Linked DNA regions of Mus musculus. The protein of the gene in region 1 purifies or fractionates together with the protein of each later gene. This does not show direct contact. Links are inferred from orthologs where the notes say so. Each region holds a gene or a part of one and is shown in the gene's direction. Other genes may lie near its edges.

The links.
Region 2: the proteins of Timeless (region 1) and Tipin purify together in Homo sapiens (affinity purification with western blotting; 6 studies listed by BioGRID and IntAct, counting the BioPlex papers as one, with this or other methods). This does not show direct contact. The link is inferred for Mus musculus from reciprocal best matches to the Homo sapiens genes TIMELESS and TIPIN.
Region 3: the proteins of Timeless (region 1) and Clspn purify together in Homo sapiens (affinity purification with western blotting; 4 studies listed by BioGRID). This does not show direct contact. The link is inferred for Mus musculus from reciprocal best matches to the Homo sapiens genes TIMELESS and CLSPN.

What each region holds. Positions count from the first base shown.
Region 1 is NC_000076.6:128,238,504-128,242,151, forward strand, and holds part of Timeless (protein timeless homolog), read left to right. Parts: exon of another isoform or gene 1-955; intron 956-1,330; coding exon of another isoform or gene 1,331-1,397; coding exon 1,398-1,494; intron 1,495-1,634; coding exon 1,635-1,788; intron 1,789-1,876; coding exon 1,877-1,991; intron 1,992-2,086; coding exon 2,087-2,149; intron 2,150-2,771; coding exon 2,772-2,873; intron 2,874-3,080; coding exon 3,081-3,236; intron 3,237-3,648. UniProt on the Homo sapiens protein: Plays an important role in the control of DNA replication, maintenance of replication fork stability, maintenance of genome stability throughout normal DNA replication, DNA repair and in the regulation of the circadian clock.
Region 2 is NC_000075.6:64,288,039-64,291,686, forward strand, and holds part of Tipin (TIMELESS-interacting protein), read left to right. Parts: intron 1-69; 5' UTR 70-75; coding exon 76-205; intron 206-1,671; coding exon 1,672-1,744; intron 1,745-2,335; coding exon 2,336-2,411; intron 2,412-3,648.
Region 3 is NC_000070.6:126,555,727-126,559,831, forward strand, and holds the start of Clspn (claspin), read left to right. Parts: upstream 1-1,253; 5' UTR 1,254-1,387; coding exon 1,388-1,411; intron 1,412-3,481; coding exon 3,482-3,590; intron 3,591-4,105.

The sequences.
Region 1 (3,648 bases):
TCATTTGATGAAAGTACAAGCAGTGACCTGGGTTCAAGCCCCAGCACTCATAGAACAACCAGGCTTGTGGTTTGTGGCTGTAATTCCATTGCTGAGGAGGCAGAGACAGGAAGATTCCTAGGGCTCACTGATCAGCAAGTCCCACACCCCAGTCCCAGTGAGAGCTATTGTTTTGTTGGGTTTTTTGTTTTTCTCAAAGATTTCTTTCTTTTTTTTTTTCTTTTTAAGATTTATTTACTTATTTTATTTCTATGAGTACACTGTGTAGCTGTACAGATGGTTGTGAACCTTCATCTGGTTGTTGAGAACTGAATTTACAGTTTAAATTCTGCTCGCTCAATCCTGCTCACTCCTGCCCAAAGATTTATTTATTATTATAAATAAGTACACTGTAGCTGTCTTCAGACACACCAGAAGAGGGCATTGGATCCCATTACAGATGGTTGTGAGCCACCATGTGGTTGCTGGGATTCAAACTCAGGGCCTTTGGAAGAACAGTCAGTGCTTTTAACCACTGAGCCATCTCTCCAGCCCCTGAGAGCTATTGTTTTAAAATGAGGTGGGGGTGTCTGAGGAATGATATCAGATTGACCTCTGGCCTTCACACACACACACACACACACACACAGAGGGAGAGGGAGGGAGAGGAGAGAGACAAGCACACATTTATACCTCTGGACCCCCAGCTCTTACATTTATAAATCTTTCGGAGGGAGTGGAACATTTGCAGTCAGGACAACTTGCGGGGGTTGGTTCTCTACTTCTACCAAGTGGGTTCTGTGGTACTCAGGTTATCAGCCTCAATGGCAAGCTTCCTTCCTTACCATTGAGCTATCTCGCCAGCCCAAAGCTGTGACTCCTAACTCCTGTGGTATATCCAGACTAGGGCTGTATGAGGAAGCTGTAGAAGATGGAGGATTCAGTCTAACCCTCCCAAGGCTGCAGAGTGTCCAAGGTGAACATCTCAGCATTGATCTGGCTTCCTACCGGGTTGTCTTAACTCTGAACCATGTTTCTCTGGTTTCAGGATCTGGCTGTAGTGTGGCCCAGGCCTTAATTCCTAAACTGGAGTTTCTCTGCTTTCTAGTCAACTAGAAAGCAGCCTTAACAAAAAGCTTTCCCTGGGGCTAGCAGATGTAGCTCGGGTAGAGCACGTGCCCACTGTGCACAGGAGCCTCCCTGGGTTTGATTAGTTTATATATTAAAAAAAAAAATGTTTTCCCCGGCCTGGGAGCAGCACTTTTAGCTCAGACAGAAGCGAAGCCATTAAGGGTCCTGAGTGCAAGCCCAGCTTGTTCATTTTCCTTACCACGGACATCCCTCTTCCTAGTCCCGTAGGCCTCACCCTCTCCGTCCACCATCTCTACTGCCCGCTCTGCTGGTTGGGCCTCTGGTGTATGGACTTGTACATGATGAACTGTGAACTTCTAGCCACGTGTAGCGCCCTTGGGTACTTGGAAGGAGGGACTTACCACAAGGAGCCGGATTGCCTGGGTGAGTAATCTTTTGAGGAATCGGAAGGAAAAAAAAAACTTCACCAAATTGGTCTGGTGAGTTTCCCTGGCCGTGGGTACAAACAACTCATGGGGCTAGGCAGCTCCTTCTGGGTAAGTGTTTTATCCTGTCCTCTAAAGAGAGTGTGAAGGATTTGATCCGATACCTGAGGCACGAGGATGAGACCCGAGATGTGCGGCAGCAGCTGGGAGCTGCACAGATCCTGCAGAGCGACCTCCTGCCAATCCTCACGCAGCATCGCCAGGACAAGCCTCTCTTCGATGCCGTGATCAGGTTCACTCCTCAGCCTTTCGACTCTTATCTCGGGCGGCGTCCGAGTTGTCAAGGAAACCTGACCACTCTGTCTTCGTTGTCTCCCCAGGCTGATGGTAAATTTGACACAGCCAGCCTTGCTCTGTTTTGGCAGCGTGCCTAAGGACTCCAGTGTACGGCACCATTTTCTGCAGGTTCTAACGTACCTGCAAGCCTACAAAGAGGTGAGAAGCCTTTCTGCAGAGGTCCTGGGTTGGTGTTTGGAGAGGAAGGAAAGACAAGGTAGGCGCTACCTACGAGACTGTTCCCTGTCCCACAGGCCTTTGCCAGTGAGAAGGCATTTGGAGTCCTCAGCGAGACCTTGTATGAATTGCTACAGCTGGTGAGTGAGTCTGCATCACACACATCCCATGTGCCAGTTAGTACTTCACCTCCGCTACCTCTGCTGAACCTGGGAAGGTCCTCAGCCCTTAGAGATACAGGTTCTGTGTAGCCAAGGCTGTCCTGGAACTCACTCTGTAGACCAGGCTGGCCTCAAACTCAGAAATCCGCCTGCCTCTGCCTCCCAGGTGCTGGGATTAAAAACTCGAGCCACTACCGCCTGGCTTCTAGCCACTCTTATTTTGCTGGACTGGAACTAAGAGGTGGTCCTGTCCCATCCCCCCCTTGGCCTCCCCCCGCCCCCCACCTCCCGAGAGCTGGGATTAAAGAACTGTGCCACCATGCCTGCTCTTTATTTCTAGTTTGTATTTTTAGAAATTTATCTAATGGGGTATGTGTGTGTGTGTGTGTTCATGTGCACATAGAAGCCATAAACAATGACAGATGTTTTTCTGGATGTTTCCTGGATTATTGAGTGTGTGCTGGGGTCTGAACTCCTAGTCATCACGATTGCGTTGAGAGCATTGTTAAACCACTAAGCCATCTCTCCATACCTTTTCCTTCTTTTTAGTCCCAATTCTCAGGGCTCAGTCTTAGAGCCAGTCTTTTCTCCTTTTGCCCAGGGCTGGGAGGATCGGCAAGAAGAAGACAACTTGCTGATCGAGCGGATCCTTCTGCTGGTCAGAAATATTCTCCATGTCCCGGCCAACCTTGAGCAGGAGAAGGTGAAGAGGGTTTGGGGAACATCGGAGTTCTTGCACTGGTTAGGGTGAACTCCCCTCTCTTAGGCTTTTCTGTCTTCTACGAGTCTGGGGGCTAGCCTTAGCCACAGAGTGAGCTGCTGGGGACTCTGGAGGCTGTCCTGAGTGGAGCTGAGTGTGTGTGTTTGTATTGTTGTCATGTCCCCCCACCCCCACCCCCCACCTGCTCAGAGTATCGATGATGATGCCAGCATCCACGACCGTCTCCTTTGGGCAATTCACCTCAGTGGCATGGACGACTTGCTCCTCTTCCTGTCCAGCTCATCCGCCGAGCAGCAGTGGAGCCTCCATGTGCTGGAGATCATCTCCCTCATGTTCCGAGACCAGGTGGGGCCTTACTTATACTAGTCCTCTACTCCCCGCCATGTGCTTCCGCCGTGTGGCCCGAGGAGCCCTGGTGGGGATGGGGGATTACCCGAGGAAGGTGATGCGTGCCCTGGCTGTGTTCTATCCAAGGCCCATGAATAGCTCTCAGTGTTTGTGTTTTCCCTTCCGAGTAGGAGCGAACTTGTCCTGGGGGCTGGAGAGATGGCTCAGCAGTTAAGAGCACTGACTGCTCTTCCTAAGGTCCTGAGTTCAAATCCCACAACTACATGGTGGTTCATAACCATCTGAAATGAGATCTGACACCCTCTTCTAGTGTGTCTGAAGACAGCAACAGTGTAGTTACCTATATAAATAAATCTTTGGGCTGAAGCAAGCCGGGCTGGAGCGAGCAGAGGTCCTGAGTTCAATTCCC
Region 2 (3,648 bases), on another chromosome or scaffold:
TGGATGGAACTAGATTATGTGATAGGAAGACTGGCTGGTTAAAAATAACTTTCTTTTTTTCTCCTGGAGGAAAAGATGTTAGAGCAAGAAGAAAATGGCTTGTTTGAAATACCAGATTATGAACATGTAGAGGATGAAACTTTTCCTCCCTTCCCACCTCCGGCCTCGCCAGAGAGAGATCCTGCAGACGCTGAACCTGAGGAAGGTCTGTATCAAGAATGTCACAAAAGTATCCTTTCATTTGGTTGTTGTTTTGTTTTGTTTTGTTTTGAGCAAGATTTCTCCATATAGTTCAGTCTGTCCTGTAGACTCTGGAGATCCAACTGCCTCTGCTTCCCAAGTTCTAGGATTAAAGGTATGAGCCACCAAGCTTAGTTGTTGTTTTTTTTATTATTTTTATTTATTTTTTAAGGTTTGTTTGTTGGTTTGTCTATTTTATGAGTGCACTGTAGCTGTCTTTAACACACCAGAAGAGGGTATCAGATCCCATTACAGATGGTTGTGAGCCACCATGTGGTTGCTGGGAATTGAACTCAGGACCTCTGGAAGAGCAGTCACTGCTCTTAACTGCTGAGCCATTTTTCCAGCCCTGTTTTATTTATTTATTTAAAAATTTTTTAGAAGATATATTTATTATTATATGTAAGTACACTGTAGCAGTCTTCAGACACACCAGAAGAGGGCGTCAGATCTCATTACAGGTGGTTATGAGCCACCATGTGGTTGCTGGGAATTGAACTCAGGACCTCAGGAAGAACAGTCAGTGCTCTTAACTACTGAGCCATTTCTTCAGCTCCCTGTTGTTTTATTTTTATGTATGTGAGTACACTGTCACTGTCTTTAGACACACCAGGAGAGGACTTCACATCCCATTATTGATGGTTGTGAGCCACCATGTGGGTGCTGGGAATTGAACTAAGGGCCTCTGGAAGAGCTCTTAACCACTAAGCCATCTCACCTGCCCTGTATATTAGTTTTTACGACAAAGAGCGTGTTGACGCATACCTTTAATCCCAGCACTCGGGAGGCAGAGGCAGGCGGATTTCTGAGTTTGAGGCCAGCCTGGTCTAGAAAGTGAGTTTCAGGACAGCCAGGACTACATAGAGAAACCCTGTCTCGTAAAACCAAAAAAAAGATAAGAGCTCACAGTGTCTCCCAGGCTAGCCTTGCTCTGACAGTCCTGCTGTACCTGCTGAAATGTCCCACATAGTTCTGTGTCAGATTAGCCTAGAAATGGTACATTTTGCAAATGATTAAAAAAAAAAAAAACTGACTGGGTGGTGGTGGCACATTCCTTTCTTCAATCCCAGCACTTGGGAGGCAGAGGCAGGAGGATCTCAGTGAACTTGAGGCTAGCCTGGTCTGTAGAGCAAGTTACAGGACAGCCAGGGCTACACAAAGAAACCCTGTCTTAAAAAACAAACAAACAAAAATAACTATATTTATGTATTTGTGTTTATCTGAATATATGTGGGCACACAGGTGCTACAGTGTGTGCATATGGAGATCAGAGGATGATTTTTTCTTTTTTTGGTTTTTCGAGGCAGGGTTTCTCTGTATAGCCCTAGCTGTCCTGGAATTGACTCTGTAGACCAGGCTGGCCTTGAATTCAGAAATCAACTTGGCTCCACAGGACAATTTTTAAGTACTAAATTTTGGTCTGTTTACTAGGATCAGGGAGTGGAGTACCTGTTCCGCCAAAGAGAACAGTTAAAAGGAATCTACCTAAGCTAGATGCTACGAGGTATGGGCATTTACTTTGATACATTTATAGATTTCTACACAGTGTTTTTCTTTTACTATCACGGTCTTTGGTGGGTGATTTAGAGTTCAGATAGAGTTCTGTAAAGATTTTTTTCTCCTTTAAACTTTTTCTTTTCTTCTTCTTTTTAATGATTGTATTTATTTATTTTATGTATGTGAGTACACTGTTTCCAGACACACCAAAAGAGAGCATCAGATCCCATTACAGGTGGTTGTGAGCCACCATGTGTTTGCTGGGACTTGAACTCAGGACCTTTGCTCTTAACTGCTGAGCCATCTTTCCAGCCACATAAGATTTATTTATTTATTTTATGTATACGAGTACACCATTCATCTCTTCAGACACACCAGAAGAGGGCATCAGATCCCATTACAGGTGATTGTGCCACTGAGTGTCAGCCACTGTGTGGTTGCTGGGAATTGAACTCAGGACCTCTGGAAGAGCAGTTAGTACTCTTAACCATTGAGCCATCTCTCCAGCCCCTTGTCTTTTCTAATTCAGGAGGAAATATTTTTTTTTCATGGTCTTGGTTTTAATATGGCTAGAAATTCAAAATGTTTCTCTTCACAGATTGACTTCAGAGAGAGGGCTTCCAGCCTTAAGGCATGTGTTTGATAAGACGAAATTCAAGGGGAAGGGTCATGAGGTAAGAAATGCTTGATTGATCTTTATTTTTTAGCAGTGGGCATCGATTGAATCCAGGGCAAGTGCTAGAACCCATGCTAAACAGTATTACTGGAGTACATCCCATCCTGGTTTATTTTAGACTTTTATTTATTCAAAAAAATTTTGAGACAAAGTAGCACTATGCAACTCTGGCTAGCTGTGTCTTAATAAAAGTGCCATATATTTAATTGCTTAGTCCTCAGGGAGTAGCAATATTAGAAAGGATTAGAAGGTTTGGGGAGGTGTGGCCTTGTTAGAAGAAGTGTTTCACTGGGGTGGGGCTTTGAGGTTTCTTAAATGATTTCTTTGGTAAGAGTTACCTTTACCTTGGTCATGATTTCTCTTCACAGCAGTAGAACAGTGACCAATATTCTAGCCCTGAGCTCACAGAGATCTGCCTTTGTCTGCTTCCCAAGTGGTAGGATTAAAGATTTGTATCATCACACCTGTCTTATTTAGAGCTTTTCTTTTTTGTTTTTGCATGTGTTACATATGTAACAGATGTGCAGCTTGGTTTTCATGTGGGTCCCAAACAGCTGGAGCAGGGGCTATCCCAAAAGCTGTTGCCTGTACATATAATATGTTCTTCTAGCTGGACTGCTTTTTCTGGCCTCAGTGGGAAAGGAAGCTCGTAGCTTTGTAGAGACTTGAAGTGCTAGGATGTGGGGATACCTATGGGGCCTCAGAGGAGAAGGAGGAGAGGAGGGGTAGAGGAAGGTTGTGGAAGGGGATGAACAGGAAGGGGCAAGTGAGTGGGATGTAAAGTGAATAAGTAAAAAAATAAATTAAAAACAGGAAAGTGAGATTTTAAAAAAAACCCAGTGAAACTGGGTTGATTATGTTCTTTAGAATCTCTAAGAATGCCGGGCGGTGGTAACGCACGCCTTTAATCCCAGCACTTGGGAGGCAGAGGCAGGCAGATTTCTGAGTTCAAGGCCAGCCTGGTCTACAGAGTGAGTTCCAGGACAGAGAAACCCTGTCTCAAAAAAACAAAAAACAAAAAAAAGAATCTCTGAGTATATTACAGAATGAAAAAAAATATATACACATTTTATATATATATATGTGTGTGTGTGTGTGTGTGTGTGTGTATATATACATATACACATACACACTGAATATATAAGCTGTTAATCATCACCTCTAGAGAAATAGCTTCAGTGAAATAGAAAGGGTACTTGGAAGAATTAAGAGAACATCTTGTATAGTTTCATTTT
Region 3 (4,105 bases), on another chromosome or scaffold:
GACAGTGGACGCGAGACGATCACATTACTTCCCTTACACGCTTCCTCCAAAGATTAAGAGAATGATGATTATAAAATTCTGCCCATTGTTTGTCACAAACTGTATGGCCAATAAAAGTCAGTCCTCCAAATGCTGGAGGAAGTGCTACAGATAGATGCATATTTGTGAATCATTGATGTATACGGTCATAGTAAAATAGCCTTTTTTTTTTTAAAAAGGGGGTAAAATATGAGGATGGGACTCTTTTTTGTATTTTTTGGAAGCCTGGAGATTATACCAGGGAGGGCCTCATGCAAACTAACTAAGCAAGAGCTCTACTACTGAGCTGCATCCCCAGCTCAAGACCCTTAGGGGTGTAGAAGTGGGCGGAGATGTGGAGAAATGGAGTTGTTTTTTATCTGAATGTGTATTCAGATAAAGGGGAGACCAGTGTCAGAGGTGACTGTCATCCCTCGTATCCTCTGAGGAGATTCTAGGGATGTGAGGTTTTCCGTGCTAAACCTGGGAAAGTCCTAAGCAAACTGGACAGAGTTGGTCACCATACCAGAATAGGTGAAGGGGGGTGGGGGGAGTTAGAGAGGAGGGGGGTTTGGGTGGGATGGAGGATAATAAATACTCAGATCTTTCTTTCCCTGTGCCAGCTGGTCTCTTTATAATAACTTTGTAAGGAGTTTTAACACTGGCTTGACCATTCAGAAGACAAAAGACAAGTCAGCTGGGACAATACAGTCCAGAAAGGACATTCTTGCCTGCCTATAGAACATGGGGAAGAAAGGACAGAGAATCGACCCGAAGAGGTAAAAACATTAACTCTGCAGGTTAGGATTGCTCCAGGGATGAACTGATGGAGAAAGCCTCCACTGGGGTCTAAGGTTCCCTCAGCAAAAAATTCAGGTGTGGGACACTCCCAGAATCCTGGGAACTTCTTCCCAGTTCACTTCCTGCATTGAAATTTCTCTCCTCTAATTGCATACGGTACGACCCATCGAACGAAGACATAGGTCAAAAGTCCAAGAACATCATTCGCAAGATACCTTCTTTCTAAGCCATAGCGCGGGATCTCTTCGCTCCCCGAGAACCCCCAGACACCCCAAAGCCACTCCTAGATCTGTTTGACAAGAGCAGCCGCAACCCGCCAAACCAACGCAAATTACATTTGCCGGGCAGGCAGGAGGCGCCTCCTGATTGGCAGGGCGATAGGGGTGGGGCCTCGGAGGGAAACCCTCCCTCGGATTGGTGCAAACCCTCAAGGTTGAGCGTTGTACCGCGTCTGGGCGCGAAAGCTCGAACTTCGCTGCCGAGCTGGAGACGGCGGGAGCTGTCGCCGTCAAGTTGAGGTTACTGCAGACACGTTCTCCTGGAGCTGTGCGGAAGGGAGGCCGGAATCATGACCGGCGAGGTGGGTTCTGAGGTGAGTTTAGGCTCTGGTCCGGGCTGTGGAGGCCTTTCGCTGAGGGCCGAGTGGGACAGTCAACCCAGCAGGGCCAGAGCGCCGAGCCGGGAGGACTACAATTCCCGGCGTGCACCGCTCCGAGACCACTGGACTGAGTCTGGGGGCCTCTGGAGGGTCTCCATCTGGCTTCCCGCGCTCAGTCCCCACAGCTTCTGGTTCGGCGGCGCGCGCTGTTGTCCGCCCAGCCGGGTCCTCAGCTTGTCACTGCAGCCCGCCTTGCTCTTTGGCGCGTTTCCTGCCGCGCAAGCTCCCTTTACAGCATCCCCACAAAAAAAAAAAAAAAAAAAAAAAAAAAAAAGGCCTTGGCCAGCCTGGCCTGGAAGTTGTGGGGTGGGAGTCTCTGTAAGCACAGGGTGAGGGGTATAAGCAGTTGGAACTCTGGTTCTGGAAGGAACTTGTAAGGGTGTCGCGCGTGGGCCCACAGTCTTTGCCTACAGTGGCCTGGCTCACAGCGTCCTTCCAGTAGCTGGTGACTCACTAGTGGAATTTGGCCATAGAAAACCTTTTCCGTGATCTGTGTTCTTTTCTGGAGCCAGGACTAGGGCCAAATAGTTGCCTTAAGAACAGATTTAATGGGGGTACCAGAAAAACCTAATCACCAAAGGAAAGCCTTTTTGTTGTTGTTGTTGTTGTTGTTGTTTTTTTTTTTTTTTTTTTTTTGAGACAGGGTTTCTCTGTGTAGCCCTGGCCGCCCTGGAACTCACTCTGTAGACCAGGCTGGTCTCGAACTCAGAAATCCTCCTGCCTCTGCCGAGTGCTGGGATTAAAGGCGTGCGCCCCCACGCCTGGCTATGAAAGCCTTATTTTGACATGAAGTTTTCACGATTAGATATTGAACAAAATAACAGACTTTAATCAAGATCTCGTTGTGCACCAACCTGTCTTTTTGCCTCACTAGGATTTTTTTAAAAAGCCTTAATTTAAATAACATTATTTTCAAAAGGTGGCTGACTTCATAAGCCACACTTTTGCTGACTCTTACTAGAAAGAGAGAAAGAAAGAAAGAAAGAAAGAAAGAAAACAAACATAAAAGTAGGAGACAAAGACAGGGAGGCAAAGTTAGAAGAATGGTATGTGAGCACAATTATGACATGAGTGAGTGTGTGTGTGTGTGTGTGTGACTATCACAGTGGGATCTGAAGGATGGCTCATAAATAAAGACATTTGTTTTGAAGCCTGACAGCGTGACTTCTATCCCCAGGACTCACCTAGTAGAAGAGATTAGATTTTTGCAAGTTGTCCTCTGTCTTCCTTCGGTGCTCTATAGCACACCACTCCCTCTCTAAATGTGCCTACACACACATGCAAAATAATGAAAAGGGGGGCTAGAGTGGTGGCTCATCTGGTAAGAGCACTTGCTGCTCCTCCAGAGGACCTGGATTTGGTTCCTGTCACCCACAACCATCTGTAATTCCAGTTCCAGAGAATCCAGTGTCCTCTTCTGACTTTCATGAGTATCAGGTTTGCACTCAGTGCCCTTACATACATACAGGGAAAATACTCCTACACATAAACAAAGTAAATCTTTTTAAAAAAAAATTTAAAAGGGACTGGAGAGATGGCTCAGTGGTTAAGAGCCCTTGCTGTTCTTGCAGAGAATCCTAGTTCAATTCCCAGTGTCCACATCATGACTGTAACTACGGCTCTAGGGTGTCTCATGAACATTTTGACCTCTACAGGCACTTCATGAATATGGTGCACAGACATATATGCAGATGAAACACTTATAAAATTAATACATCTTCTTTTCAATTGAAAAAACCCGAAAAACCAAGCGAATCTGATTTGTGCAATCGATGTGTTTAATAAAAGTAAATGGAGCTGTTCAGTTAGTATCCTGTAGCAATTAGTCTCGGTTTGTGTGTGTTTGGTTTTGGTTTTGGTCTGTGACTTTAAATGTCATCTGTGTGTTACACTGTCCCGTTTTGGTTCTTCCCAGTTGCAGCTGATGTCCCCACACTGTGTGTCCCCATATATACTCAGCTCTGTCTCCTCCTTGTTAATGCTAGGTTTATTCTCATTCTCTAGGTTAACCTGGAAGTCAACGATCTAAAACTTCTTTCACAAGAAGCAGCAGACAGTCCTGTAGACAGTGGACAGGGCAGCTTTGAAACACTCGAGCCCTTGAGTGAAAGAGGTTTGTAATATATGTTATGTTAATTTTAGGAATAGAATGTGGGGTCCTGGGTTGTGAGTGATTTCAGTTAATCTCATTATTTTCTTGACTTATCGAATTAAATTGTTAGTGCCCCAACTTTATTATTTATTTTCTTTATAATAAATAAAAAAATAGCAGTGCTTACATATATTTTTAAAGAACATCCATTCCTGTTATATAACAGGAATAAGTAATATGTTATTTTTTTATTTTTTATTTTTTTTTAGTTAAAAATAGATAAAATGTCTAATAGTTACTTCATTGCCTGGCTAAATGCATTCACTATAGAACAGGATTTCTAACACCTGCCAGGATGATTAGAACAACTCTACACATTATAAATGTATAAATGTATATAATTACATTTCTTAGCAAGAGAGGTTTTGCCACAGAAATTTCTTTTAAATATATTTTTAGATATGCTTTGCTTCAATGAGTTCTTACTGGCAGTTGTGTAATCCCATAAGGTGATATATCACATGTGTAATTAAATA